Astyanax mexicanus: one gene and its partner. The protein of the gene in region 2 interacts with the protein of the main gene of each other region in a pairwise test. Links are inferred from orthologs where the notes say so. Each region holds a gene or a part of one and is shown on either strand. Other genes may lie near its edges.

Region 1 (3,938 bases), on a different chromosome or scaffold from region 2:
ATTCAGTTCAGTTTACAGAGCATATTACAGCTGAACACAGGTGAAGTCTGCTTCAAATATTTCTGTATTTTCCTGAAATTTTTATTTTAAAAATTAAAATTAATTGTTTAATTATTTTTTAATAGTGTCTAACAACATGTCCATGACATTCCTTTAAGTATTTTGCTAAAAAGCAAACAAAAACCTACATTCACACTATCTGTCAAACATTTTAGAACAACTAAATTTCCTTTTTATATTTGCCATTTAAGGTCTTCAGGTCCAGTCAATAACCGGAAATGGTACCAAATCCAATGTGTTAAATGGTAAAATTGTGATTTTTAGCAAAAACAAACAAACAAAAAAAAACAACAATTGGTTAACAGCTTACAGCTGGTAAGTAGCAATGGAAATAAACTGAGCTTTATACAAAAATAAACAAACCTTTGTCTATAGTAAAGCAGTATTGGAACAGATTGTGTTACTGCACACTCTACTGCAGTATTTTTACAACACACAGTTCAGTACTGATACGGTTCAATGAAATAGGCTAGTGAGGATAAGGTGCAAAGATACAGCTCTGAAATAAAATAAGAGACCACTTAAGAATGATGTGATGCTTTGATGTTGAAAACATCTGGAATATAATCAAGAGGAAGATGGATGATCACAAGGCGTCAAAACAAGCTGAACTGCTGGAATTATGGCACCAGGATTGGCATAAAGTTATCCAAAAGCAGTTAGAAAACCTGGTGGAGGAGAACATGCCAAGATGCATGAAAACTGTGATTAAAAACCAGGGTTATTCCACCAAATATGGATTTCTGAAATTTGGAATTTGGGAGAAATGTTTTCTGTAGTTTATAGAATAAAACAACAATGTTAATTTTACTCAAACATCTACCTATAAATAGCAAAATCTCTTATTGTGGTCTCATGATTGTCTGGGCCATACACTACTGCTTTAGGACAACTAAAAATAGGTGTACGTTTGTAATTTGCTATATTTATAATTTTATAATAAACAAACATTTATCAATTATGATTTTGCCCAACTGCTCCATGTGAATCCATTCTTTGTTGGTCTCTCTCGGGAGCGCCCCCTGGTGGAGTAGAGATGTTTAAGTGGGTCTTCTCCTCTCTGGAGGTTCTCTAGTCACAGCTCGCGCTCACGGTCACATGAGGCTGTTCGTGACGCAATTTTCCCGCCACCAAGAAGTGTGTGTGTGGAGCGGAGGAAACGAGTTTGCAAAAAAAGAAAACGGCTTTTTTGAAGTAGTTTAACTTTAAGAACGAGGAGACTTACTGCAGTTTCTGGAAGAGCTTCAGCCATGCCTTCAGTTCAGGACTGGATAAACAGCCCGCTGGGCGCGGTGGACGCGCTGTTCGGTAAAGAGCTGCAGTTTAACAGCAGCAGGGCTCTGGCTCTGTCTCACTGCTGACTGCTGAAACGTGGGGTTAGCCTGGGCAGCATGCTAGCTAACATATGGATAGGTTGGCTCACCTAAGCTAGCTGAATAATTCTCTTTATTTAAATAGCTAGTCTGGTCACTTGAAGCACAGCAGCTCGTGTGTGTGAATTATTAAGTGTCTGTTATTTTCCATATATACCTCGTTGTTTAATTAAAGTTGTTAAATTCTGTTACAGACTGGCAGCATGGGGCTAATTTAGGTCAGCTAACAGAGGCGTTTAGATATGAAACAGGAGCTGCTGCTGTGATTATAAAGCTGTGTTTCTGTAACGTTATTCTGTGTTTTTCAGCTCAGAACAGTTCCAGGTCAGACTGGGAGAGGAAGATTGTGGAGTATTTCAAAGAGAAACTGAAAGTAAACGATGCACAGTCCTGGGTAACTTTTTAATCACGCACTTTGTTTATAAACACGGACTATGTGGAATAATAATAATAATAATCAATAATAATAATAGTAATAACAATACTACTACTGCTACTACTAATAACAATAATAATTAGCATAACAATCAGAATAATAATGACAATAATAGTAATAATATCATCATCATCATCATAACAAAATTCGAGTAATAGTAATAGTAATCAGAATAATATTAATAATAATGGGTATAGTGATAATACTGAAGAAATTACTGATAATGATGATAGTTATCATCGTCATTACCATTATTATTATCTGTATTATCAGTAATAATAATAATAAGAAGAAGGATAAAAATTAATAATCAGAGTAATTGTAGAAATAATCAGAATAATATTATTAATAAGTGATGGTGATAATATTGATGATGATGATGATGATGATGATATTATGGATGATAATAACAATAATAATAATAATTATTATTTTTTTTATTATTATTATAATAATGAGTAATAATGAGTATAATATAAAAAACAATAATAATGACATAGTATAATCTGAATAATATTAATAATAATAGTGATGATGAAGATATTACTGATAATCATGGTGATTATTATAATAATCAGAATATTATCAACAATAATATTGATGGAGATAATACTGAAGATATTACGGATAATTTTGATGGTATCATCGTCATTACCATTATTATTATTATTATCTGTATTATTATCAGTAATAATAATAAGAAGGATAAAAAATAATTATTATTAAAATAATGAGTATAATATAATAATAATAATAATAATAATAATAATAATGACACAGGATAATCTGATTAATATTAATAATAATAGTGATGATGATAAATTAATTATAGTGATGCAGATAATATTAAAAATATTGCTGATAATCATGATGATTATTATAATAATCAGAATAATGTCAACAATAATATTAGTGGGGATAATATTGAAGATATTACTAATGATGATGATAATTCATTTTTTTTACGTGTTTAATATTGATCTACAATGTATAAAATAAATAAACGAAAAACATTAAATACGAAGGTGTGTCCAAAATTTTGACTGCTACTGTAACTGTAATCTTGATTGAATTGCTGGTTTGTTATATAAATAACCTTGTTTTAAGTTATTTTTGTATGTAACACGTTTGTTTGGTTGTGACACTCCAACCAAACACTGTTTGTGATGTTTAGGTTCCCTCTCTGAATGACGTTCCCCTGCACTATCTGAAGCCCAACAGTCTGGTGAAGTTCCGCTGTATGATCCAGGACATGTTTGATCCAGAGTTTTTTATGGGGGTTTATGAGACAGTTGACCCTTCAACAAATTCAAAGGTGGGCAAAAATATTGTCAGTTTATCGTTTTTTTGGCCGAAACACCTTACTATTTAGCATTAGTAGATTTAGTGTAATTTCTTTCATCCATCCTTCTTTCAACACCCTGTTATTAGTTTATTTTTTATTTTCTTTTAGTGAGCACTTAAGTTCATTGAATTTTTTTTTGTCAATTTTGTTTGTTTGCGTACAAGGGCAGTCACTTTTTCCTCATAATTCTATAATTGTGCTTTATGTACCTTTTTTGTTATTTAATAAAGCAGCAGGTATGGATTTTGCCTGGTAAGACGGTGGTTATAATGGTCTAATGCATACACCTGAACAGGCAAATGGCTGCATTTGTAGCGTGTTGTCTGATGTGAGTGCAGCATAATTGTTATTGTGTTCATGTTGAAATACATTTAGAAATGACAAATTGAGCTGCAGTGAATCATGTTGCCATATTATTCAGTTAATAGTTTGTATGTTTAAATACATAATATTTATTTTATCTAATATAGATGATTAATAAATTATAGTTTAAAATTGAGCATATGGTCCTTGTTAATTTATGTTTATTAAATCTGGCTTTTTCTTTTTATTCATTTGTCAGGTGCTGAGATGTGGAAAATACAAAGATGTTACTGATTGTGGCGTGAGTATCTATCTTTCTCTCAATATTTATGAATGGATTGTTGCATGGTCACTTAGTCTACTGTTAAAGTGATTGTTTCTGTGTAGTATATGCTTCAAATAGTATTTAATTTAGCAGTTA
Region 2 (3,938 bases):
AACCACACATTACACTAAATACAGACTTCCTTATAATAACACCAAGCTTCCTTGTGTGACATTCCTGGTAACTATGGTTTGATTCAGAGATCTAAGTAGTGATGTGTTCAAAGACAATGAAACAGGCCTCACCTTCAGTCTGCGCTCATTGGCTGTGTGAATATCTTCATCACCAGGCTTGATCTGGAATTCACCATTGGACCACTCACCAAAAACCTGATTTTATGCAACAGAAACAGATTAACGCATTTCTGAACTTCCTGCACAACAAGATCCAACTATGCAACACAATGCCCGTCTTACGAAACCATAACCTTAACTAGGAAGTTTCAAATAATATGGATTTTATTAGTCAGCATCACAACACAACAGCAGTTCAACAATACAGTTTGCTGAAACAGAGTCGCATATTTTTCAATAGGCACTTGCCAACAGCATCGTCACATGATTCAGTGTCCACTATTGTTGTGTTTATATGAAAGTACAGCTGTGGACTGGGCCAAGGCACACTATTGTCTGGGAAACATTAAAGGGGAACTCCACCAACATTTCAAAATAGTTTTATATGTACAATACTGAGACGTAAGCAGCCACACATAGTGATTTGATTGGAATATGTCATTTAAATGGAAGTTTCATGCCATTAAATGCTTAAACTCTGAAAATTATTACATGAAACAGAGATATGTGAGATATGGTTTTGGCCTAAAACACATTGTTGAAAATTCTCCAACTGAAATGAATGGGCCAAAAATTAGATAAAAGTACTTTGGGTGCAATTTTTTTTTTTTTTTAATACATAGCATTTTTTAACATTAAGTCATATTGTGCTTTGTTGGCATGTCTGTTGGGATTCCGTATTCAGCCTTCAAACATTGTTCAGTTTTGGTTTGGGACAGCTTATTCTGTAAATCCCTAAACACTACATATAAAGTATAACTGAGAAGTGAAAAATGGACTATGGCACAGCTAGGACACAAGTTAACATCTAGTTAAAGAACACAAAGCTTTACAGCACATGAAATGCACATGAACTGGCTCTTGTTCTCTTTTTCTATCCGTTTTTCTCACTTCACCCTTACACCCTATGCTACCTGATAGCAAAAATATGTTAAATTAACGTTTAATTCCCATCTTTAATGCACTGAAACAACACTGATTTGATTTGACATCAATGAAAATTTTGGTTGTATTCTATTCAGATACATTACCAGTCAAAAGTAAATAACGGTTGTTTAAAGGTTGTTTGTTTTTTCATCATCAACCTTAAAAGATGTGCATCCAAATCAATGAAGGTTTATCCAGTGTATTATTATTACTATTGTTGTTATTATTATTATTATTATTATTATTATTATTCATAGTACCAGGTACAACATGAAAAATTGTATTACTTTGCTTTTATTATTTTTAATTTGATTATTATTAATATTTACATAAAAATAATAACACAAATATAATACACATTTTAAAAGTGTTATTTAATTATTTAAAATAGGTGTCTATGAATGTAAGTCCACTATATTTTACATTATGTGTAAATAATATTACAGGTGTAATAATAATAAAAATAATAATAGTTATTATTATTATTATTATTATTTATTGTATTCTTTGTTACTAGTTTGTATTGTGTTCATGCAGTGTAAAACATTTAATTATTACTATTTGAGGGGAACACCTTTCAACTACAAGCATAGTGTAGAGAAGTCACAACCTTTTAAAGCTATTTCACACTAACTAATGCCTATTGTTCTGTGTTAAATAAAGGTTGTTTATAGGTTGTTTTTCCATCATCAACCTTAAAAGATGTGATGCACCCTAAAGAAAAGTTTTATCCTCGTGTTGGATCACAGTCACAGAGACTTGAGCTTGAAGTTTACAGGTATCTAACCTTGTCAAGGCCTGAAAGAATCTGCTGCAATTCCTCCGGAGTGACCAGTCCAGCTTTCTGCAGAGCTTTCACATAAGCTTTACTCCCCCGAATGTCTGCATCCCACATGCGCTGATCGTAAGCGATGGACGCGTTGAATTTCTCCATTATTGGATCAGTGTTTCCAACGAACCTGCCGCCCCACAGCTTGTTTCCCTGCTCGGCAGGAACACATGACAGTTAGCTAGGAGGACTTACATTAAATTTAGGTTAGCTTTAAGCTAGCTTGTGGCTAACAGCTGCCTAAATATATCAAGATAAGTAAACAGATCAGCTCTGAAAAACAGAGATAAGTATTGTAATTCAGATTATAAGAGCTCTTACCTCTGATCCTGCCATGCTCCCTCCTCTCCAGTCCAGCTATCTCCTCTCTCTCTCTCTCTGTAGGAGCTACTGAGAGCTAGGTTAGTAAACTTGGCTAGACTGCTGCTGCTGTGTTTTGGCTGCCTATAAAGAAAAGCCTCATGAACTCAGTTAGCTATTGTGTTTACCTGGAACGTGTTCTGTGGTTTGGACACGCAGCAGGTGCTCTGCCCAAAGGAAGGCAAATAATCAGATTAATTAACAGTTACAGGATCATTAACGTGGAAATGCAGGTTCACAAACCAGTGTCAGTCAGTTGATGCAACAGCTGCCACAGCCTGCTGGTTTACAAATATCCAACATATCCCTCCCCTAAAAAACACTTCTCCCCATAATATATCCCTCCTCCTCTCAAACACACTCCTCCCCTCACAAACACTCCACCCCATATTATATCCCTCCTCCTCTCAAACACACTCCCATCTCTGACACTTGGAAAAAATTAAGTCATGATTATGAGATAGATAGAGTCTAAGGGGAATTATCTTTATAATTATGACTTACCATACCTACTGCATAACACAATATGTGTAAATAATATTACAAATACATTATTATTATTATTATTATTATTATTATAAGGAGTAGTAGTAGAAGTAGGAGTGGTAGTAGTGCTTGTGGTATTGTTGTTATTCGTAGTAGTAGTGGTAGTAGTAGTAGTAGATAAACAATAAACATTATTTTTAATTATTTTTATTAATATTTCTATATATTACACATTTTAAAAGTGTTAATAAAACACTTCATTAAAATATGTGTTTTAGAAAAGTAAGCCTACTGTATTACACATTATGTGTAAACTATATTACAACCCCTGGCAAAAAGTATGGAATCACCAGTCTTGGATGAGCACTCCTTCAGACATTTCATTCTGTAAAACAAACTCTGATCAAAAACATGATACAATAATAAGGTCATTCCAAAGTGCAACTTGTTGGCTTTCAGGAACACTCAAAGAAATGAAGAAAAAACATTGTGGAAGTCAGTGAATGTTACTTTTATTGACCAACCACAGGGAAAAAAATATGGAATCACTCAATTCTGAGGAAAAAAGTATGGAATCATGAAAAACAGATAAACAAAAGATGATTCAAAATACATCACTAGTATTTAGTTGCACCACCTTTGGCTTTTATAACGGCTTTCCGTCTCTGAGGCATGGACTTGATGACTGACAAACAGTATTCTGCATCAATTTGGTGCCAACTCTCTTTGATAGCAGTTGCCAGATCAGCTTTGCAGGTCGGAGCCTTCTTGTGGACCATTTTTTTCAATTTCCACCACAGGTTTTCAATTGGGTTGAGAGCTGGACTATTTGCAGGCCATGACATCGACTGAATGTGTCTTTCTCCAAGGAATGCCTTCACTGTTTTTGCCCTATGGCACGATGCATTGTCATCTTGGAAAATTATTTCATTATCTCCAAACATCTGTTCAATTGAAGGGATGAGAAAACTGTCCAAAATGTCAATGTAAACTTGTGCATTGATAGAAGAATTAACCACAGTCATCTCCCCAGTGCCTTTGCCTGACATGCAGCCCCATATCATCAAGGACTGTGGAAATTTGGTTGTTTTCTTCAGGCAGGCCTCTTCATAAATCTCACTGGAACGGCACCAAACAAAAGTTCCAGCATCATCAC

The links.
Region 1: the proteins of asl (region 2) and mini-chromosome maintenance complex-binding protein interact in binary tests that used the Homo sapiens proteins (3 or more experiments, as listed by UniProt). The two-hybrid records come from large-scale screens. The link is inferred for Astyanax mexicanus from reciprocal best matches to the Homo sapiens genes ASL and MCMBP.

Annotation. Positions count from the first base shown.
Region 1 is NC_064414.1:37,678,866-37,682,803, forward strand, and holds the start of mini-chromosome maintenance complex-binding protein, read left to right. Parts: upstream 1-1,163; 5' UTR 1,164-1,310; coding exon 1,311-1,368; intron 1,369-1,741; coding exon 1,742-1,827; intron 1,828-3,043; coding exon 3,044-3,184; intron 3,185-3,776; coding exon 3,777-3,818; intron 3,819-3,938. UniProt on the Homo sapiens protein: Associated component of the MCM complex that acts as a regulator of DNA replication.
Region 2 is NC_064424.1:10,202,142-10,206,079, forward strand, and holds the start of asl (argininosuccinate lyase), read right to left. Parts: upstream 2,608-3,938; 5' UTR 2,273-2,607; coding exon 2,258-2,272; intron 2,090-2,257; coding exon 1,895-2,089; intron 217-1,894; coding exon 133-216; intron 1-132.